Linked DNA regions of Struthio camelus. Each later gene encodes a partner of the first gene's protein in a complex. Links are inferred from orthologs where the notes say so. Each region holds a gene or a part of one and is shown in the gene's direction. Other genes may lie near its edges.

Region 1 (7,113 bases):
TTCTTCTTTACTTCCAGGGTCTGCTCAGCCTCCTTCCTCTGCTGTTCTTGGGTTTTCTTCTCTTCCTGAAGCAATTTGGCAAATTCCTCAACCTGCTTCTGCAGCTCATCCTTCTGTTTCTCTGATTCTTCCAGCTTTGACTTCAGAGGGTTTATCAGCTGCAGCAGCATGTGGAGATGTTTGCTGATCCGGGAGAGGTCCTTGCTTTGTTCTGAGGCCCAGTAACTCATGTCCATTGCAGAGAGGGTCCTTCTACCCATGGTCTCCTCCAATGTCTCGTGGAATCTGCTCAGAGCCGAGGGGATGTTCTGACTCTGGCAGATGCCGGTGATGGCTTTGCTGACCTCCCGGAGGCTGGCTTGTGCACTAGCACATGAGTCACAGGGTACCAGAGATGACTCAGTTGTCTGTGTGGGGATGCTGCGGCTGCATGTAGACCTGGGAAGCGAGTTGCCAGAGGTGTCACAGTCTGGCACGCTGACACTCTGCAGCAGGCACAAAGAGGTTGACTGGGCAATATCTATGGATGAGGTTAACTCCGAAACAGCAGGTGAACAGCTCTTCAAATGCTCCTTCTCAGTTTTCACACCCTCAGGGGTAGATTTCAGTGTGGAGATGTCTTTTGTGCAAGTCATCTTCTGGGGGAGAGAGCACAGAAGAAAAACATAGGGCCCAGATTGAACAGTGCAACCAAGACAGCTGCAAATGATCCAGATCAGCCTGAATGCAAAGGTGTTAAATGTGGGAATGGGACATCAGTGAGAGCGCAGCCAAATGGCTACGAGGGCAGTGAGGCCTTCTCTTGGAAGGAGAGAAGTTCCAGGAGCTTGGGGGAAGAACAACGTTACCAAGCAGTTGGGGGTTCCTATTTATTGTGCTCCATATCTTAAATATCTTACATATCCATATATTACAACCAAGACAAATGGCTAATGAACAAAAGATCAATTTGTTCACGCAGATCCTGGGTACTCCCTGAGGGAGGAAGCCAGGGAACTGAATTTTAAAAGCTGCTGGGTAGCTTTTCAGCCACTGATACCTTAGCCAGGTGGAGGCTGTGGTTTCACAGTGGAAGGCGTCTGCCATGAAATTTGCTTCCCAGCTCCTGCGCTGGTTACTGTCCCTTCCTTCACGCCTCCGTGCACTGTCTCAAGGTTAAGCCAGAAGACCTGTTATGAGACCATGCCACCTGCCAGGGCAGGGCTCCCTCCTGCTCTGTCACCCCTGCACCACCACACATCAGGTGGCATCCCAGAGGACTGTGACCTTAGCACGATGCTGCATGCAGGCCTGAGGCAGCTTCTGAACCAGGGGGGATTGAGGCAAGGGGTATTTCTGTGAGCCTTGCTCTCGGCTCATGGCAATTGAGGGCCCCCATATGTCCCACCTCAGTCAGGAGCTGCTTGTAGAGGGCTCCCAGTTTCAGCATGCTGTTCCAGTACTTCCGCACCGTCAGCCCCGCCGACATGCAGGGCCCCACTGCCTGCGCTGGGGGGATGGCTTTGTCGCTGAGCAGGTTTTCTGCATAGCCTGTGAAGCTCTGAAGCAGCAGGAGCAGCCTTCTTCGACAGAAACGAAACACAGCTTAGCGCAACAGAGTATTTGGAACAGGGAGAGGGCCCTTGGCATTTAACAGTGCAGGGCCAGGGCTGAGGCAGAGGTTCTCCTCCCTCCCCATTCCCTGCACAGTCTGAGTTGGTCCAAGGAGGCTGGATATCAGCCCCCACGCAGCTCCCCTCCTCTGTCCTGAATCGCTCAATGGAGCAACGTTTGGTGGGATTAAAATCCTCAGGCAGCCGCAAAGATGCAGACCGTGCACTCTGCTTGCAGGGGGTTACTCAAGGGGGACGTACTCTTGGTGCAGTCAGCCAATTCCAGGAGATTTGGGGCACTAAGGCTGCCAACATCAAGGCCAAATATCCAGAAGCAGCTCTGCATGAGCAGCTTGTCTTTAAAATTGAGTATTATTTTACTTAACCCAGGTCGCAAAGGGCACTTTTGCCTCCCAGGCTCTCCCAGGTAGAGCTGCGATTGGGTTCGAGCGTTCCCAGGGTTTTGGGGGGCTATTTAATGAGAGGGGCACCAAGCCAGGGACCACACAACAACCATTGCTTAATAACTTTCTAAAAGGTTAAAGGCCTTTGAGAGTCCCAACTGATCCACAGACCCCAATGTTGATCATAATGATGGCATCAGGGCCCAGAGTGCCTTCCCGGTAGCTCTGATCCCACCCGGGCAAGGGAAAGGACTTGGGTTTTAACACTCAGCGCAGGTGGGCTGGGCTCTGGAGCACAAATCCCACCCTTCCAACTGCAGGTGTGCCAGCACCTGTCTCCAAGCAGAAATGCAGCTACGTGGACACGTTTGACAGGTTGGATGCAGAAATGTTGCCTTCCTTCCAAAGGGAAGGAGCCACTGGACCAACCAGCCTTCTTTTAAAAGGAGTAGGGGATGGTTTGGGCTCGTTTTCTCTTCTCACCTGTCGATTACCAGCTCCAGCAGCACCACGTGGGAATGCTGGGTGAACTCGAGGTCGTTCTCCACGTAGTCGTAGTGCTCCAGCAGCTCCACCAGGTCCAGCTCGCAGGATACTTTATCGGGGAACTTCCAGGAAGGGTAGCGAACAGCCCCAGCCCGGGAGAAGACGTCGGCGATGGCTCCTTGCAGGTCCGTGATGTCAGCCCTCAGGCTGTCCATGCAGGTGGGGCTGCCCAGGAGGTGCGCCATGCCGGGGTGGCAGGATGAGGCTCCGCAGCTCCAGCCTGACTCAGCCCACGGGCCGCCCCGCCGCTGTGCTGCGTCCGATGAGCTCCTGGTCCGATGGGGAAAGGCTGCGGAGGCCGGCCGGCTGCCGGGCTGCAGGCGGGAGCTCTGCGGGACCGAGGCTGAGCTGAGGCCAGCCCAGGGTAGGGACACACATGTGGCACCAGGTCAGATCCTACGTGCCAGGTCAGACCCTAGGCGGCAGGATGGACCTGTGCACTGGAATGGACCCCATGCACCAGGATGGACCCCACGCGCCGCGATGGAGCCTGTGCGCTGGGACAGACCCCACACACTGGGACAGACCCTGCACGCCAGGATGGACCCCCTGCACTGGGATGGACCCTGTGCGCCAGGATGGAACCTGTGCGCCGGGATGGACCCCACACACTGGGATGGACCTCATGCACCAGGACGGACCCTGTGCGCCAGGATGGACCCCATGCACCGGGATGGACCTCATGCATTGGGATGGACCTCACGCAGCGGGATGGAGCCCGTGCACCAGGACGGACCCTGTGCGTCAGGACGGACCCCACGCACTGGGATGGACCTCATGCACCAGGATGGACCCTGTACGCCAGGACGGACCCCACGCACCAGGACGGACCCCACGCACCGGGACGGACCCCACACACTGGGATGGACCTCATGTACCAGGACGGACCCTGTGTGCCAGGACGGACCCCACGCACCGGGATGGACCCCACGCACCGGGACTGATCATACGTGCCAGGATGGAGCCTATGGGCCGGGACGGACCGTGTGTGCCAGAACGGACTCCGCGCGCTGTGCGCCGCCGGGCCGTGGGGGTCTGTGCCGGCAGGGCCACGCGGTGGGGCCTTGGCGGCGCGCCGGGGGGAGCCAGCGGCGGGTCCCGGGGAGGACGGCAGTCTGCGGGAGGGCCCCGGGGGCGCGGGGGTCCCCGGGGGGATGTGCCGAGGCGGCGCGGAGGTGCCCGTGGGGGGGACACGCACCCACCTGCCGCCGCGCCGCGCCGCTCCGACCCCGACCCCAGTCCCGGCCCCGGCCCCGCGGCGCGACCCGCTGCCACGGCAACCGCGCCAGGCCACGCCCCGCGGTGAGCCCGCTGCCACGGCAACCGCGCCAGGCCACGCCCCGCGGTGAGCCCGCTGCCACGGCAACCGTGCCAGGCCACGCCCCGCGGCGCGCCCGCCGCCACGGCAACCGCGCCAGGCCACGCCCCCGAGGCACGGCCCACTGCCCCCGGCCCCCGCAATGGAACGCTCCTCCCCCTCTTGTGGCCCGTTAATGGCACTGTCCCCGGCGCATGCGCCCTGCTCCTTCGTCGGCCCCCGCCCCCGGGCGACCCGTACTCCTCGAGCCGCGCGTGCGCCCGCGCTTCGCCTTCGCGCGCAGCGTGCGTCACACCCGGCGCGCGTGCGCAGCTCGGAGGGGCCGGCCGCCATTTCGGCCGTGGTGGTGAGGGTGCTGCGGGGTTCCGGGCAGCGGCGGACGAGGAGCGGCTCCGGCGGGGAAGCGGCCCCCGTCGCCCCGAGGGATCACCATGCCGGCCGGGCCCGTGCAAGCGATGCCTCCGGCGCAGCCAGCGCCGCCCGCGGAGGGCAAGCCGGTACGGGCCGCGCGGGAGCGGGGCGGCCCGGCCCGCTGCGCCCGGAGGGGCCGCAGGCCGCGCCCGGAGCCCCTGGAGTCCGTCGGCAGCTGAGGCGGAGGGGCGCTCCGGCTCTCCTGGCGTTGAGCTGGGGGTGCGGGGGCTCGCTCTGCTTTTTATGGGTGTATATTTTGGATGCAGAGGCAGCGTTTTGTTCAGTGCTTCCTGTTGCGTTTTAGCGATCCGGGCTCGTTGGGTTTATTTTGGCCGGTGGCTTCTGGGTTTAACCCATTTCTCTTGGTTTTGGGGCGGCTACATTTCCATCCTGTTATTTTTTGCTGCGCCCATAGGACTCACCCGCGGTTCCCTATACGTCTGCGCTAGCTGGGTGGGGCAAATAGTTCACTTCCGGGTAAGTACGGATCCTTTCGTGGAAGCTGCAGAGGATTGTGATTGTGATGGAGGTGAATGTTTGCTGTTAACTGTGGAAGCAGCCCTGCCCTTGGGAGGGATGTGCAAAAGCTTGGAAAAGACTCAAGAAACCTGTCCTAGAGGGACTTAGGGGACTCAGTCTCTCATGTTCTTCTAGGGCCTTCACATATTCTTGCTTGTTCTGTCTCGGTCATGTTCACCTCCTCAGGAGCCTTTTTTGGCCTTCTGTAAAAGCCAAAATCATATGTTGGTGACATATGGTTCTAGCGTAGCTTTAGCTGCCATCCTGGTTGTGCGTTCTTGGTGTTCCCCACGCTAGCGTTAGCATTAGTGCAGCCATGCAGTAAGATAGGGTAAGGAGCTGATCTAACTGAAAATCTGTCTCCTGCTCCTGGTAAGGTTAATTTGAACGAGTATGTTGAACTGGCCTGTTTTATGGCCGTTAAAGCTGTAGGGTTAGTGCACAGGGTAGAAGTGCAGCAGCCTGGACTGATGTTGGCTAAGGCTACAATGCAGCTGCTCCTGGAATATCGCTGCTTAGGTGATTTGGTGTAGCAAGTGCAGTTAGGAGGAAAGCTGTAGCTCCCGATAAATACCCTGTCACTTTCATAGATGTAAATTAACAAGGTGACTCAGCATGGTATTCAAATAAAAATGTCCCTCAAGCGTGGTATTGCCTTCTCCTTCTGGTCCTCTGATGTTCTGGTTCTCAGGGAATGGGAGTGAAAAGTAGAAAGGTTTATGATGCCTTTTTCCTTACAGAATACTTTGTTAAAGTTGTATTTTGCACGAATCCGTCTTCTGACTTGGAATCACCAACTTCTGACACAGAATCAGCAAAACTAGTAGCAGCATAGCGGTGTTTTAAAACTCCCCTGACCCTCACTTTTAAGATTACAAACACTTCTCATGTATCTCCTGTCTTTTATAATGGTGTTTTTTGTGAAAATTACTTGCTAAGACAAGAGGGGAGATATCTTTCCTATCCTGCAAAGAACAGCTTCTTATCTTACTGAAAGATAAAACTATTCTTGGGAAGAGTTCTGTGATTTTTAGTTTAGAGCCTACTGTAATATCTGTGAGGAAAATACCTTGCTGAGTTTAGCCTCTATGAAAAGAAGCTTCTGATGCAACCTCAATATGATTAAGATCTATGGGATTTTTTTTTAATCTAGATGTAATCATTCAGGTTCTAGCTTTTTGTAGTTCCACAAGCTGCTGGGAGTGTTCATAACTTCCAAACCTATTTAGCAATGCTAAATTATTCCCGCATGTGTTCTTACAGGCGGTCTCTTCCACTGCCTCTTGCCACAGTGTTTATAACCTACTCAGGGTCAAGGCTGAAATACTAAAAATGCTGGAAAGACTTATTTATGGTTCCCATGGAGCGGCCTTCCTTTTTATTGCCTTGCTATGTCAGCCTCTGCAGTAAATGCCCTTGACAAGCAGACAAATATTATCTTCTCACCCTGGGAAGCCAGGAATGGGCTGTTGATTGAGATTGTTAAACCAGTTAGAGCAGAAAGGATAAGACTTTTGCATCAGAATAGTAAAATGATTTGGGGGCTGGGGTACAGAATAGACAGTTCTGTCAAGCGTTTGGGTTGCTGGTTAGAATACTTGGTTCTGATACAGCGTTCATTAAGCCTTTTGTAAAGGTATGCTAGGATTGTTATTTCCAATACAGATAAGGAAGCAGAGAGAGAAGGGAAATTCATTTTTCGAGCTAACCGATTCAGGATAAACCCAGTCTCAGTTTGCAGCCTGTCAGAACGTGCTTTCACACCCTGATGCTGGTGGATAGCCTGTTGTTCAAATATTATTTGAATTTCTTTATCTTATCAGCTTTGATTTAGGTTATTACAGCTTAGTATCTTGACATACTGATTGCAAACTCTGCAATGAAAGATCTCTTCCTGTACTATCCTATAACCATCTTATGAATGATGAAGTGGCTGACAGGACTGTTTTAGTTACAAGGCAGCAGTACAGAGGACTGTAGGAAATTATATATATCTATCTATATCTTTCTTGCAGCCAGAAGAGGAGCCAAAAGAGGAAGCAGCACCAGCCAAGCCTGTGGTAGGAATTATTTACCCTCCTCCAGAGGTCAGGAATATTGTTGACAAGACTGCCAGCTTCGTAGCCAGGTAAATGATGCTAGTGTTGTGTCCCGTGTTTTCAGGGTTTTCCATGCCTCTCTACCTCCAGTGCTCCTGTCTCTGTGGATCTAGAAACTGGAGCAGTCGCTATCCTATGACTTGACATGAAGGGAAAGAGAATTGCAGGTAAAAAGGGAGCTTACTTACCAGTGCTCCATTTTAGTAATTAAGCTAAGATGAGGT
Region 2 (7,581 bases), on another chromosome or scaffold:
CTTTACAAAGACAGAATCAGGACATCTAATTAATTACGTTGTTCCCAAAGATCTGCACTGTATTACACAATTCACAGAAATCTAGGCTGCTGCTGAGAAGTAACTGGGTCAGACTGCATCATACACCTCAGGGCTCCCGTATGGGGACGCAACCCGACTCCAAATGCGATCGCTTTTAACACTTTTCTCAGGAAACCTCATTCACTAGGGCTTTTGACAGTCCTAAAGCCCTGGTAATTCCAAGCGTGGTGCCTAGACAGGTTGGTATGTTCAGGCTGTCTCCAGGATCCTTTGGAGACAGTGAGAACGTGGTCCCTCCCGGCTGGAAGAGAAGACAAGGCTCTGCACAGAAAAGCAGCTGTGCCTGACAGCCAGGCCAAAAGATATGGGGATGGCCTTGGAGAAACATCCTGTTATTTTTGCCACATACCTCTTGCACAATGATTAGTTGTTGGATGAAAGGCTGCTTACAAAGGACGACACACCATGAGCCAGCTGGAGTCATGGCTATCAACACAAGGACAAACAGTGTGGCGGGAGGACTGGTGCTAGATTAGTCTGACAGATGGTTTATCTGAGGCTCACTTTTTTTGATAAAAATGTAATAGCACAGAAGCAGCAATCTGTCAATACCAAACCCTCCTAGAGAGGGATTTCCACAAGCACTAAGCCATAGCCAGTGTGTTTTTACAGCTTCTTTCCTCACAGGCAGCTGTGCAAATCACACACACTGACGATTTCAGCCAGCAATGAAATACCACCGTCTCGGGAATGGCAACATCACAGTAACAACTGGCAGCTGACAAAGAGAGGGGCTGAGGAACACTAGGCCCAGTGTAACCAGAGAAACACAGGGAAAAGCGGGAACTAAGTAGCAAAACATTTTCTTTTATATAGTATTTTTAATTGCATAAGGGAAACACAAACGGCATCTATATGCAGAACTCACTGATTGAGAAGACGTTCTCCTCCTCTTTGGTGATTCTGCAGTGCTCCAGCAGCAGAGCTCCGATGGGCTAGAAAAAGACCAGGAGAGAGGGTTTAAACACATGTTGTCCAGCCAGTGCTACAGGCATGGATCACTAGGGGAGAGTGACCAGATTCATTTTAACCCAGGAGGGGTTATAGGGGAAACCTATCAGAGGAACTGTATTTCCAGGAGATCTTTGCATATTCTGCACTAACTGCAGTAAAAAACAGAAAATCAAAACCAAACAAGTTATGCCAGTGTAGCAAGTTCCTGACCTTCAGCTGATGCTGGAATAAACGTGCATACTCACAGCCTCATTCCTTTGCGGAAAAAAAAAGATTTGCTCAACAAACTGTGAAGACAGCTTGAAACATGCGAGATATACATGTATACATATGCTTTGCTCACATAGTTCTGAACCCACAGAATTTTGCTACTGACTTTTAAGTTTCAAAACTTGATGCGGCTTTTAAGGTAATTTAGTCTACAATTAAAGGAACGTTCAGTGTTCTTCTAAGCAACCGATTTGTGTCTGCTGACATGCTTCATTTTACTAGTCTTATTTTTAACTCTCTGTTTCTACTTCCTCAGATTCAGTCTGGGGGTTAGCATGCACTTCTGTGATGCACAGACAGTGACAGAGTTTACTCTCTAGCTCAACAGATCAAATTAAGATGAAATATTTCAGAGGGCACAGAGAAAGACTAACAAAATTCCACATTTAACTTTGTAAGGGCAGGCTCAAAGCTTTGCAAGAGGCTAAGAACAGTGTGTTGATGAACTAGAACAGTTCAGGATAAACAGACAAACGGCAGGTACTATTTGCCACCCAGTGCACGCTGAGCAAGGACATGAGAACCAAGGAGTGATAGAAGCCATAAACAAAAGCAAACCACAAGTGAATTCTTTTGTCCAACCTAAACAAAACGGAAGAGACAAATAAAGCAGCAAAGAAGATACCGAAAAATCTGTTTAAAATATGTATTTCTGGCATGACAGTTTTACTTTAGCACTAATCACCTGCCAAATTACTTTTGATCCATTCAATAACATCCTCTGCCTTCCATCAAAACCCACAAAAATGCTTAAAAATAATAATTGTCAGAACAGAAAACAGCAAAACTAGCTTTAGGTTGCAGTAAAGGAGACAGGCTGTAAGGAGTATCCTCCGACTCTCATAACAGAACGCTCACGTGGGAGTTACAGACGAATCTTTACATCTGTCTGCATGTCTACATACACACATACAAGAATGACTGCTCAGCTTTTGGCCATACCTAGAGTATTGTGATTGCAGCTTCAGTGGAAAAGTGATTAGTGACTGCAGTTCAGTAGGCAGGAGAAAAGAAATATCTTAAAATAAGAGCATAACCATTATCAGGGTTAAATTTTGTAATGGACACAGTCTAAAAATGCCACATACCTCTTGCCAGCATGCACACAGCGTGTTTCTTCACACACGCTAAAAAGATTTCTTTTATACTCATTTTTCAACTAGAGACTCTTTAGCAACAGTTATTAAGGAATTCACTTAAAAACCATAATATCTCAGCAGTGGCAAAGCCAGAAACTGAAGCCAGATGTCTTATCCCTCATTCTACTTTTCTAGACCTAAACAGGGCCTCCGAATGCCAAAAATAATAATATTAACAGAGCATAACCATGCAAGTTTCTCAGGAACAGTGAGCACTGTATGTAAGCAATATTCCTGGTGTAGAAGAGAAGAAACAATGCTAATTCTTTTCCCAGGAGAGCATAATATAAACTTCCGCTCACAGTTTAACACGAAAAGCTGCAGCCCTACAACTAAACATTACAGATTCCATCTTTTGCAGTTTTGGGCAATGGTTATGTTTAAAAGACTCATTCCAGATGCATGCAAACAGTATCTGGATGTGGTTAGATGGCAGTGATTTCTTCTCACCCATAGGAGCTTTTACTGTTTTGATAGAAGAGCAAATGTGGGCTCACTGTTCTGGCTAGGGCAGCCTGTTACTGTACCAATTTACAAAGTACATAAAGTCAATTCACAGAGAAAAAAGCAGATTCCATACCTCCGCTTCATCTGTCCGGAAGTAGAAGAGAAAGTTGACAACAAGCTTCACAAGGCGTTTCTTTAACACTGCAAAGAAAAAGAGCATTCAGGTGGCAAGTCTGTGGGATGAAGCGTGTGAGCCAGCTGGCAACGGAAAGGAAAAGGGAAGCACATTCCATCTTTGCTAGCACCCAGCAACACGCTGATTCAACCAAGTCTAGGGGGAAGCTCCATTTTAATTTAAACCTTTGCCGCAGGAGCATCCAATACTAAATCATGCTTGGCCCACTCAGGAAATGCACCGTCTCGATTTATCCCAGTGGGCTGCAAAAAGATGACAACAGAAGTGTCGCAGATTTCTCTAACACCTTCTGGCTGGACCGATCCCAAAGTACGGTGTCAGCTATATACGTGATACAGCCTCCTGCATGTGGCATCTCAAATCCAGGGAGAGACCCTGCCTGGAACTATCAGCACAAAAGTCACTTCTTGAGGATAAAGCCTGTCAGGTCCCTGCAGGTCCTCAGGAAGACAAAAAGCTCTGGGCAACAGCATTGATTTAACATTTAACAGCAAGGAATATTGCAGCAGTATTTCAGCAAAGAGCCTCTTATTTTGACAGACACACTCAAAGCGTTGGGAGAGAGAAAGGAACGTATCTACTTTCCACCCTGATGCCTCCTGCTTCCCTTAAATCCCTCCACATCTCTCCATCTGCATATCCCTCCAGTTCTCCTATCACCCAGTCCCACTTTCACGGCCTCTGCCAGCCACACTCTGCCCCAGCACGTCCAGTCCAGCCTCCTCGTCCTGCCACAGTACCTCCACCCCAGCCCGAGCCCCTCCAGTCCAGCACCCAGTCCTGCCCCGATGCTGCACCCCCAGTCCAAGCCCAAGATCTTCATTCCTGTTCCCCAGCCTTATACCCCCGCTCTACCTCCAGTCCAGCCCCCCAGTACTCCCAGTCTGGCCCTTGCCCTTTCCCCCCAGTACTCCCAGTCTGGCCCTTGTCCCTTCTCCCCAGCACTCCCAGTCCGGCCCTTGTCCCTTCCCCACCAGCACTCCCAGTGCGGCCCTTGTCCCTTCCCCACCAGCACTCCCAGTGCGGCCCTTGTCCCTTCCCCCCAGCACTCCCAGTGCGGCCCTTGCCCCTTCCCCCCAGTACTCCCAGTGCGGCCCTTGCCCCTTCCCCCCAGCACTCCCAGTGCGGCCCTTGCCCCTTCCCCCCAGTACTCCCAGTGCGGCCCTTGTCCCTTCCCCCCAGTACTCCCAGTGCGGCCCTTGCCCCTTCCCCCAGTCCTCCCCGGCCCGCTGTCCCCGCCCGCCGGGCCCCCCTCACCGCTCCCCTTCTTGGGCACCCGCATCAGGATCTCGGCCGCCTTCTCGGCGGGCTGCCGGGCCAGCGAGAGCAGCTCCCGCTCGTTGTAGCGCATGGCGAGGCCCCGCCGCCCTCGGCCGCCGCCGCCGGGCGGCCCCGGCTCCCCTCGGCCCCGGCCCCGGCCCGGAACCGCTCCCGCCCGGAACCGCTCCCGCCCGGAACCGCTCCCGCCCGGCCCGGAACCGCTCGCGCCGCGCCGGAAGTCGCGCGCCGCGGGAAGAGGGGGGGGGCGGTGCGCGTGCGCGTGCGCGGAGCAGGGCGCGGGGCGCGGGCCGGTACGGGCCGGGCCGCGGGGGGGGGGGGGGTGCTCGGAGGGAGGGGTGGCCCGTCCTGGGGGTCAGACCCGTGCTGAGGGGCTGGGGGGGGGGGGAAAGGGGGACTTTGAGGGCTGCTCGGGGGGTGGGGGATTCGCGTGTGGAGCTGTGACCTTTGCTGCGGGGCCGGGGCGAGCGCGAGGGGCCTGTGACCCCTGCTCAGGGCGCGGGGGGGGGGGGGCGGCTCTGGGGCCTTCCTGGGGCTGCTGAGGCCGGGGCCTTGCTGAGGGGTTGGGGCCGGCGGGTGGCCCTGGCCTCCGCCGAGGGTTTGGGGGCTCAGCGGAGGAGGCTCTGCGGCTGTGCTGGTGCGTGTGTGGCGGGGGCGTGGGGCAACTCAGCCTTGGACCCTTGATGGGGCTCTGGGGCTGTTCGTTATCGAGATGGAGGGATTGGGGGCACCTAGTGGGGCTCGTGTGTTGCTAGGGGAGCTGTAGGGCCTTGCTGGAGCCCAGCTGAATGCTTGGGGGAGGAATCCGTCTCTCCTTTTTGCTGAAGAAGGCGTTGAGGAGGTTGGAAGGTCTCTGGGCGGGTTATTTAGGGTTTAGATCGTTTTGGTTCTACTCAACACGCAGCTTGTTGAGTCAGCGCCCCAAGACCTACTGACTTTGAAATTGTGTTCTGTAGCGAGCTCTTAGCGAACGCTTTTACTGTGCCCATCTCCTTTTCTTACTGGTGGGTCTAAATAGGAGAATGACGTCTAGGTTAGGAAAGGCATTAATTATCACCCATGTTGCTTTCCTTCATTTTTCCAGACTTTTTCGTTCTTCTGAACTAGTTGAAGTAGAGAAGTCCCCATCATGGATTTTCAGCATCGTCCTGGAGGTAAAACTGGAAGCGGAGGCGTAGCCTCCGCTTCAGAAAGTAACCGAGACCGCAGGGAGAGACTTCGGCAGCTAGCTTTGGAAACGATTGACATCAACAAGGTGAGCATTGACCAGTCTGTGTATTTAGGAAGGAAAGGACATGTCACTTCAGTCCTACAAACTGTGGCTAAGTTCAGAGCTCTGCTGCCTGGATGAAACAGTTTGGAAGATGAGAGATTTGGTGGAGAGTTGTAGATTTGAATGAAATACTTCTGTTTCTTTTAATGCAGGAGAAACATTTGTGAAAGGGCTGAACAGAGAGAGGCCAAAACTTGTGCATTCAAATAGCTGCCATTGCGTTATTCTTGGGCTTCTCAGGACTGGTTCATATTTTGCTGTTTCTTCACAGCATTTGGGTCTGCTGTTACCGCTTAACAAAATTAGTGTTGTTTGTCTCTGCTTTTATATTCCTAAAATAATGTTATGCTAATAATTGAAACCCAAGAACTCAGTTCGTCCAGGGCAGGAAAAAATCTGCATTATGTGTTTTGATTACTCTATTGTTTTGCCATGAATTTTGCTTGTGACTTTAAAAATTCTCTTCCTAGGACCCTTATTTTATGAAAAATCACTTGGGTTCTTATGAATGCAAGCTTTGCCTAACGCTACACAACAATGAGGTGAGTCTATCTTAATCTCCATGCAAAGAAATATTTTGGAATAATATTAACTTCAAATGCAACAATCTGAGGCATATGTAATGACTGATTACTGAGGAGATGGTGAGTGAGGAGTGGTTTGTGTGTGTTAAAGCACGACAGTTCGTGACAGCTCAGCAGTTGTGAGCAATCTGCAATTTTTGAGTAAGATTCCTCTCTGGTAAAGGGGTTAAAATATCCTTGTGGTTTAGAGCGTTTTTTACCTGTCAACATGTAACATAGCTTCTCGTCTATGACAATTATCTTCCAGTTTAAAAACAGTCCTGTCTTCATTTAACTTTCTTCTATCTTGCTTTCATTTCAGGGAAGTTACTTAGCGCATACCCAGGGGAAAAAGCATCAGACCAATTTGTAAGTCATTCTCCACTGTAGCTTTATTCTCCATTACTTAGGCACTCCAGAAGTATGATTGCGTTCATCTATAAATCTTGAATTATGTAGCGGGACACTGTGCTTGAATATCCTTTCACTTTTGAAGTGAACAGCCTGGCACTGGTGAGCAGGTATGGACTAGATCTGCTCCAAACAATGGTGCCAACAAGCTTCGTTTCAAGCTGAAGTTCAAAGCCGGTTGTGGAATTTCTGAAGGAAGGGGGAGAAAGAGCTTTAAAAGCAAACTGCGTAAGTCTGTTTATATCAGGAGTAGGTCTAAGCACCCCTCCCGCATGATTTCAGGGCCCGTCGAGCTGCCAAGGAAGCTAAGGAAGCTCCTGCCCAGCCTGCACCAGAAAAAGTCAAAGTGGAAGTGAAGAAATTTGTGAAAATTGGACGACCAGGTTATAAAGGTATGTCGGGGTGTCTGTCGTGGCATATACTTAATGCTTGGTGAGCTTGCTTGAAGTGCTGTGCTGTGTGTATGAATTATTAATTAGTCTTTTTAGCAGATCTGGCCATGAATAAGATATGGACTTATCTCCTGATGTCCTTGATTGTTTAAATTACCCATGGAACATCTCTTTAGAGCTGACAGTTGAGTGAGGATCTTTTTAATAAGAGATTGCTGTGTCTCAGTCTTTCAGCTCTTATTATAACAGTGAGACGGAAGATGATGACATTGCTTCAGTCTCTCCTCCCCTTTTTATTGTGCTGTACCATCTTTCAGTGATGCTCACGAATCACTCATTGGGTGTATAGCTCAATTTTTTCCCCTCAGCTCCCCATTGTTTTGCTTTAGCCTTCAGTCTGTCTCCCATCTTTGTTTGCAATGCACAGTGTGTCAGTGTCTTTGTCCCACAGCAGCTGAATTTCAGTAGTGACCCATAGTAGCTTTGGTTAAAGACAGTGTAGCATTTGGTAAATGAAAAAAATCTCACAATGTTTTGTTGCATGGAGCTTTGTGTATTTTGTAGGGCAGAAATAATG
Region 3 (7,527 bases), on another chromosome or scaffold:
AACCACTCCCCATTTCTCTAGCCACCTCACCCTTTGTGGGCCCAGGCCCTTTGCTCTGCGTGTCTCCACGGAATTGCTCTCACTCAGATGTGGAAAAGGACCTCAAACCGCCAGTGAGTATGGAGCACTCTAGCCCTGCCACCTTTCTGGCCCATTCCCATCCTCCTGCCTGTGCTGCAACCTCCCCACGGCTGCCTCTGTTCTGTTCAGCCCTGAAGCTGCCTTGTAGCTGTTTGCACATGTGGCCGTGTTTGCAGCTACCCGAGCTAGAGCTGGTGATGCTGCCTGAGATACTTCTAGCGAAACAGCGGAGCAGGGTGTTTTGGAGGCTGTTAGAGCACTGAGGGTTTTTATTCCTGCTCGTTCCCTCTCATGGGGAACTGCAGAATAGGGACTGCCTTACCGAGGCCAGCCGGCAGTGACACAAAGATCACCAAAGACATTTCATTAGTTCTGGAGTTGTCTGCAGGCTGCTGCTGTGCTTGGTGGCCGCTGGGGCGGATGGAGGGAGGAAGGCAGGAGCTCCGTGGCGCAGCGAGCCCCCGAAGGTCGGCCGGGGCGTCCCCCCGCCCTGCTCCTGCTGGGGCTGAGCGTTCCTGCCCGGCACAGGGAGAGGCTCCCTGGCCACGCTCCTCCCGAATGAGAGGCAAAGCAAGGGTGGCAGCTGGGCTCCCCTGGGGAGAAGCTTTGCAGCTCCCAAGTCCCTGCTGTGGCCCTAACTGCAAAATAGCACACAGGCTGCTGAACCCTCCCGGTCCCACACAAGGGCTTGTGCTGTCCTTGCCCCACAGCTGAGCCGGCCCCGGGCCCCCACGGCCCCTTTGGGTGCTCATGCCTGCCTTGCCTCTGTCCCCCTTGCTCTAGCGTGCTTGGGGCGCTTGTGCCAACCCTGCTTTCCTGTTTAGACAGCCGCAGGCTTTTCTGAATGCATCTCTTGTGGGTTTTTTTCTCCTTTTGTACTCTCTTGTCGTGAATATCTGTCATTTTGTAACCAAAGCGCAGGATGAAGGGGCTAGCCCCCGTCACAGGATTCACTTACGAACGGAGAACGTTATGCATGTTAGAGTTATTAATTCTGTATTCAGATCCTCATTGAACCCTCGTTTGAAAGCTTTGATGCAGGCAAATCAGAGTTTGTGTGTTCACTATTCTAAGGAGCTTGGAGCAGTCTCTAGAAGGAAGTGTCCTAGACCTCACCTCCTGTATGTTTCCTAAGGCTTTATATAATAAACTGTTTTAGTGACACTTGCTTTCACGTGTTTCTTGAGCAGCAGGCGCAGGGCGGCGGGCTGCCCGAAGGGGTCTGCGCTCAGCCTTGTCCTCCAAAAGCAGAGGTGGTCTGTGGCTCCCTGCAGGTATCTCCCCTAGCTCCACCGTGGGGACAGGCCGGGGTCCTGGCAAGTCCCTTCCCCATCCTCACGCCCCGGCTGCGCCACGCTGCATCGCAGCCCAGGAGCGGCAGCTCCCGCCGCATCCGCAGCGATGGCCCGGGGCAGCCGGCCTGGGTCACCGCGCCGCTCAGCCACGTCCGGCGGCAGAAGCGTGCCCCCCGTGCCCCCGGCCCGCGTGCCACCTCTCGGGAGGAGGCTCGGGCGGATGCTGCCGTCGTCCGCAGCCGGGGTGGCAGCGGGCTCCCTTCGCTGCAGCGCTGCGTGCTCGTTGCTCGGGATGTCAGCTGGGGACCCGTTTATTCCCCTAGCATCTGAAACTATTTTCCGCAGATTCCTTTACGTTTACTAACAGCAGCCACGACTTCCTCTGGGCCGGCCTGCTCGGCCCCAGCCCCGGCCCCCCTCGGCGCGGAGGCGTCGCTCCCGCAGGAGCCGCTGCCGCCGGCTCCGCGCAGGCCGCCGCGAGCTCGTGCCAGACCGCGGCGCTGCCTCTGGGCGTGCAGGCTCCTGGCTCCTTCAAAGGCTCCCGCAAACGTTGGCGCCGGCAGCTAAAGGGTTTTTCCCAGTACGATTCTGCTGCCGTTGCTGCCCTCGACCTGCGCTGGGCTCTGCTTTTGCTGCCGCTGGGCCCCAAGCGATGAGCAGGCAGCTCTGGCCCGGGAGGTTTCCAGCGGCGTCTGTCCTCCAGCAGCAGCACCACAAACCCTTGTTTCTGCAGCGCTGTTTCCAGGGATTAACCACAAAAGGTTTCTGTACAAAGGGCCCCCAGGCTCCTCTTTCAGTCAGCCTCAAGAGCCTCACGTTTTTAGCCAAAAAAGGAAATGACCCAGCTGCACGTAGCGCTGGAACATCTGGATTTTATCCCTGTCATGAATGGGTCATGGATATGCACGGCCCGGTGCCTGGCTTGCAGGAAGGGGAGGCTGATGTCATGCACAAACGTCCCCTGAGACTCCCGGAGCGCGGGTCGGAGCAGTCATGAAAATATCGTTAAGGGCAGGCTAACGGTGGGGCGGGGGCGGCGGGGGCTGCTGCCCCCTCCCCGGCGCTTCCCACCGGGGCGCCGCTGCCGGGAGGGAGCGGGTTTGTGCCGGTTCGGCAGGCCGCTCTGCCCGGACAGGGAAAGCCGCGTCCCGGAGCAGGACGTCGCCCCGGCCCGTCCCAGGCCAGACGCTCGTGCAGCGGCTGCTCCCCCGGCCGCGACCCTCCTGGCGCCGCCAGCCCCGGTGCACGGGGCACCGCCAGATTGCACCCCCTTACTGCTCCTGGGGTGAAGTTTCATGCAACGGGAAGTGGAGGAACGTTAAGTTCAGGATCTTATCTCTGCTTTTATTTTTAGACAGGCATTCACGAGGAAAAAATGACGTACTGAGAGGCAGCCTCTAGTGCGGGACCATAATTAAAGACAATATTCTTACTTTTAGTATCATCCTCTCCTTGGTGAATTGGCTGTTCCCAGGGCAGAATCATCTTTGTCTGCCGTAATTATGCCCAATTTTCTTTTTTTGTTGCTTTCGGCTTAAAGTAATGTAGTCTGCATGGTAAAAAAAGATGAATAATTTATTTGTGAGTTAAAATTTAATTACAGCTTTGTATTTGGCAAAGTGGGGGCAAAGCACTGGCACGAGCTCTCCTCGGCACTACGGTTGGATGTGAAGAAGGCGATTGAAACCGAAGGAGAGTGGAAGGACGCAGGCACGGCTCCCGCGGGAGGGTCCCCCCGGCAGGTCGCTCGGGCGCAGGCTGCTGGGCCGCCGGTTCTGGTGCGCGGCCCACGTGGTCTTTGCGTTCAGCAGCAACGGCCAGCCGAGGTCCGCGTTCGCCAGGTGCCGGGCTGCAGCTGGGACGCCGGGGCAGTGCGGGCTGCACGCTGCACCGCAGCTCTTCTTCCTTCCAGGCCCCAGGCCGGGCCGGCGGTCCGCCAGGGCGTCGCGGGGCCGGGGCCGGGCCGGGCCCCGCGCGGGCGCTGCGGCTCTTCCCGGGCTGCCAGGGTCCAGGCCACGGGGGCTGCGCTGCTGGGCCGGCGCTGACGGCCGCGCGCTGGCCGAGCCGGCGTCCCCGCACCTCGCCGGCGTCCCCGCACCTCGCCGGCGTCCCCGCACCTCGCCGGCCCAGCCCTCGTCTCAAGCCCAATGTTACGAGACGAGACGCGGCTGCTTCCCCGCGCGACTCCTCCCGTCCCCGTCCCCGTCCCCGTCCCCGTCCCCCCCTCGCCTCGCTTCCAAGGAAGGTGGCCGCAGTGCGGAGGCCGGGCCAGCCCCGACCCGAGGCCGACGGCAGTGCGGGGCAGCGCGCGGCACCGGAGGGTCGGTGCTGCCCAGCTCCCCCCGGCCGCAGCCAGCGCTGCCCTGGCGCCGGCGAACTGCGGGGTGCAACGGAGCGGGGAGCCCAGGCGGGAGGCGAGGGCCTGGCGGGGCCTGCACGCCTCCCCCTCCGGCTGGGCCCGGCCGGCTCAGCCCCCCGCCTCGGCCGCCAGCGGGGCCGCGGATGTCGGGGGCGGCAGGGATGTGGGGGGCGGCAGGGACGTGGGGGGCGGCGGGGCTGTGCGAGGCCTCGGGGCTGTGGGGGGCGGCGGGGCTGTGCGAGGCCTCAGGGCTGTGGGGGGCGGCGGGGATGTGGGGGGCGGCAGGGACGTGGGGGGCGGCGGGGATGTGCGAGGCCTCGGGGCTGTGGGGGGCGGTGGGGATGTGGGGGACGGCAGGGACGTGGGGGGCGGCGGGGACGTGGGGGGCGGCGGGGCTGTGGGGGGCGGCGGGGACGTGGGGGGCGGCGGGGATGTGCGAGGCCTCGGGGATGTGGGGGGCGGCGGGGCTGTGCGAGGCCTCGGGGCTGTGGGGGGCGGCGGCGGCGGCGGCGGCAGGACTCGGTCGCCCCCGGGCGGGGCCGGTCGCGGCTCTGCGCGGCGGCGGGAGCTGAGAGGCGGCTCGGCCGCGGGCCTCGGCGGCGGCGCTGCGGCGGGCGCCTTCTGCCGGCCCGGCCCGGCCCTGCCGCCGCCCTGAGCCCGCCCGGCCCCGGCCGCGCCCGCCGCCGCCCCGGAACCTTCGCGCCGGCGGAACCTTGGTGGCGGGCGCGGGCCGGGCCGGAGCGCCCCCGCCGGGCGCGGGCCGGGCCGGAAGGGGGCAGCGGCGGCTTCCGGTCGGTGCGCGGGAGGATGGAGACGATCCTGGAGCAGCAGCGGCGCTACCACGAGGAGCGCGAGCGGCTCATGGACGTCATGGTGAAGGAGATGCTCACCAAGAAGTCCACGGTGCGCCCGCGGGGCCGCGCCCGCCGCCGGATCGGGGCCGGGGGCCTGGGGCCGGGCCGGGCCAGGGAGCGGAGGCCGGGGCCGGGGCCGGCGGGCAGAGGCCGGGGGGCCGGGGGGCAGAGGCCGGGGGGCCGGCGGGCAGAGGCCGGGGCCGGGGGGCAGAGGCCGGGGGGCCGGCGGGCAGAGGCCGGGGGGCCGGGGGGCAGAGGCCGGGGGGCCGGCGGGCAGAGGCCGGGGGGCCGGGGGGCAGAGGCCGGGGGGCCGGCGGGCAGAGGCCGGGGGGCCGGCGGGCAGAGGCCGGGGCCGGGGGGCAGAGGCCGGGGGGCCGGGGGGCAGAGGCCGGGGGGCCGGCGGGCAGAGGCCGGGGGGCCGGCGGGCAGAGGCCGGGGGGCCGGCGGGCAGAGGCCGGGGGGCCGGGGGGCAGAGGCCGGGGGGCCGGCGGGCAGAGGCCGGGGGGCCGGCGGGCAGAGGCCGGGGCTGGGGGGCAGAGGCCGGGGGGCCGGCGGGCAGAGGCCGGGGCCGGGGCTGGGGCTGGGGCCGGGGCCGGGGCTGGGGCTGGGGCTGGGGGGAGAGGCCGGGGCCGTGGCTGGGGCCGGGGTCGAGGGGCAGGGGGGCAGAGGCCAGGGCCGGGGCCAGGCCAGGCCTGGTCCGCACTAACCGTGCTCCTCTGCGCGCAGCTCCGTGACCAGATCAACTCCGACCACCGGACGCGGGCCATGCAGGACGTGAGTGCCAGAACCGGGGCGGGGCTGGGCTGCTGCTGGCGCTCTGAGCCCCCTGGAGCGACGTGGGAATGGGCCGCTGCCTGTCATTGCCAGAGCAGCCAGGAAACAGTGGGTCTGGGTGGCTATTAACGTTCCCCTGTGGCATTTTGGGCTTTGTTGTGTTTTTCAGAGGTATATGGAAGTGAGCGGCAACCTGAGGGACCTGTATGATGACAAGGACGGGTAAGGGCTTGTACAGACACTTCTTCTGGTACTGCATCTGCCTCAATGTCTGCTGGATGCGTTTTACCTAGGAACCTGGAGGGGCTTTTAAGTGTATTTTAAATATTCAGGAAATAATGCTGGTATTTGAGAACATTGATCAGGTTTTGGAGACTAAACCTGGCAGTGCCTAGAGCAGCGCCCAGATTTCATGCCGAATATCTTCATGTGGAACAATATACATGTTTTGTCACTTTCCTGGTTTAAGTCACTGGGGGAGGCCCTTGAGCCACTTTGAACCTTGCTAAGTGGAGACTACTGCATTTTCAATAGGAGACATGACCTGCAGTCTTAAAGTATAAGCCTGTGAAATGCATGTATAACTGTCTGAGGCCACCAAACATCTCCTGCTATGCAGTCAGTCTTACTGGAACATTGTGTAACTGAAATGCAGTACTAAACACGAAGAAAGACTATATTGGCACAAACACGTTACAGACTTCCCTGTTGTAATCTTTTTTTATGAACTTATAGCTTACGAAAAGAAGAACTCAGTGCCATCTCAGGACCAAATGAATTTGCAGAATTCTACAACAGACTAAAACAGATTAAAGAATTTCATCGGAAGCACCCAAATGAGGTAAATAATCATCTACTTCATAAGAACAGGTGACTTGTGGTCTGCTGGGCTTCATCCCTACAATAAGCAGAATTTGTTTTGTTCAATTTAGTTACCTTAATACATAATTTACAACAAAGTAAGGTTTAGTGACAAGTACTAAAATGTCACTTGGGAAAAGAAAACATCTAAAGGTAGATGGTGCTTCAGAGGCTGTATGTAAGCTATGAGCGCTGCGACAATAGGAAAAAATGCAAGATGCTAACCGTGTTCTCTGGGTGCTGTGTATTAGTTTAGGAACACTCTGCTGCTGAGCTGGCATTCAGTCTCGTCTTTCTCATGCTGCCTAACGTCAGATTAAAGGGTAGTGTCTTTTCTTCTTTGCAAAAGTAATGGTGAGGAAATGCTGGCCTGCGCTGATGAGTTCAGGACCTCTCTTCTGCACTCAGAATTAGTTTGGATAAATGTGGGAAAGGCAAAGGAATTTCTCTGCCGTCACATTGTAAAGTTGTTTGCTGTTCTGTCCCTCCAGTCTCTGCACTGAACTGCAGACACCTCAGATGTTGGCTTTTCTGCCCTCAGTAGCAAGGAGAGTCACCCTCTGCTATTTAAAATCTCAGATATACTGCACGTATATGTGCAGGCAGGGTTGCTGAGTGGTATGAGTAAACATTATCCAAGGGGAACCAAGTACCCAGAATCAGTAGGGAGCTGGAGTTTTTGGTTTTGTTTTCCTCTATTGTATGGGGAACTAGGATTTGGAACAAGATTTTCATAGACTGTGCGCTGGATGCCTTTTCAGTTATGAGGTTTGCTACTGTGATTTCATATTGACCGTCCTGGGACATTAGCTGAAGTAATCTTTTATCTGAAACTTCTGTCTGTTTTTGAAGATCTGTGTTCCAATGTCAGTGGAGTTTGAGGAGCTGCTGAAGGCCAGAGACAACCCAAGTGAAGAGGCGCAAAGTAAGTCTGTAGTTTTATTCTGAGGCTAATTTAAGTAAAAAAGTTATGCTTACTTGAGAGGAGTTATTTAATGAACTATAGGGTCTGTCTTGCATGTTTTAGAATTCTACTTTCCTTTTACTAAATTACTTCAGAGAATTGTTCTTATTTCATTTAATTCCTTCTGAACTGGAGCCACCCTGGAAGGTTCCACAGTAGCGCTGCTTCTCTTGGGGAATGTTCTAGTATATTTACGTAGAGAAGCAGCCAGGTATCTCATCACTGAGGATGCCTCTTGCATCATAGACATCTTGTTTAAGCATAAATTAATCCACAGTTAATCCTTTTCAAATTCTAGCATGTATGTATGATAAATCAGGAAGCTTAAGCTCATAATAA

The links.
Region 2: SF3A1 (region 1) and SF3A2 share a complex: the UniProt entries of both Homo sapiens proteins name them as parts of the SF3A subcomplex of the 17S U2 SnRNP complex. The link is inferred for Struthio camelus from reciprocal best matches to the Homo sapiens genes SF3A1 and SF3A2.
Region 3: the proteins of SF3A1 (region 1) and SF3A3 are in contact, whole or in part, in an NMR structure (PDB 2DT7), measured with the Homo sapiens proteins. The link is inferred for Struthio camelus from reciprocal best matches to the Homo sapiens genes SF3A1 and SF3A3. Residues at the interface, in NP_005868.1 of Homo sapiens: Ala161, Phe162, Asp165, Val166, Leu169, Thr170, Phe173, Asn177, Phe181, Gln184, Leu185, Lys188, Phe195; in NP_006793.1 of Homo sapiens: Glu80, Phe81, Glu83, Phe84, Tyr85, Arg87, Leu88, Ile91, Lys92, His95.

Annotation. Positions count from the first base shown.
Region 1 is NC_090958.1:4,787,897-4,795,009, forward strand, and holds the start of SF3A1 (splicing factor 3A subunit 1), read left to right. Parts: upstream 1-4,091; 5' UTR 4,092-4,291; coding exon 4,292-4,357; intron 4,358-6,805; coding exon 6,806-6,918; intron 6,919-7,113. Other genes in the region: CCDC157 (coiled-coil domain-containing protein 157), read right to left, coding at 1-638, 1,388-1,562, 2,480-2,727. UniProt on the Homo sapiens protein: Component of the 17S U2 SnRNP complex of the spliceosome, a large ribonucleoprotein complex that removes introns from transcribed pre-mRNAs.
Region 2 is NC_090967.1:3,446,934-3,454,514, forward strand, and holds the start of SF3A2 (splicing factor 3A subunit 2), read left to right. Parts: upstream 1-4,552; 5' UTR 4,553-4,658; intron 4,659-4,667; exon of another isoform or gene 4,668-4,719; intron 4,720-4,773; exon of another isoform or gene 4,774-5,214; intron 5,215-5,449; 5' UTR 5,450-5,494; coding exon 5,495-5,620; intron 5,621-6,108; coding exon 6,109-6,180; intron 6,181-6,523; coding exon 6,524-6,570; intron 6,571-6,894; coding exon 6,895-7,004; intron 7,005-7,581. Other genes in the region: PLEKHJ1 (pleckstrin homology domain-containing family J member 1), read right to left, coding at 950-1,016, 3,025-3,092, 4,345-4,438. UniProt on the Homo sapiens protein: Component of the 17S U2 SnRNP complex of the spliceosome, a large ribonucleoprotein complex that removes introns from transcribed pre-mRNAs.
Region 3 is NC_090964.1:11,168,484-11,176,010, reverse strand, and holds the start of SF3A3 (splicing factor 3A subunit 3), read left to right. Parts: upstream 1-4,478; 5' UTR 4,479-4,542; coding exon 4,543-4,638; intron 4,639-5,315; coding exon 5,316-5,363; intron 5,364-5,532; coding exon 5,533-5,585; intron 5,586-6,098; coding exon 6,099-6,204; intron 6,205-7,076; coding exon 7,077-7,149; intron 7,150-7,527. UniProt on the Homo sapiens protein: Component of the 17S U2 SnRNP complex of the spliceosome, a large ribonucleoprotein complex that removes introns from transcribed pre-mRNAs.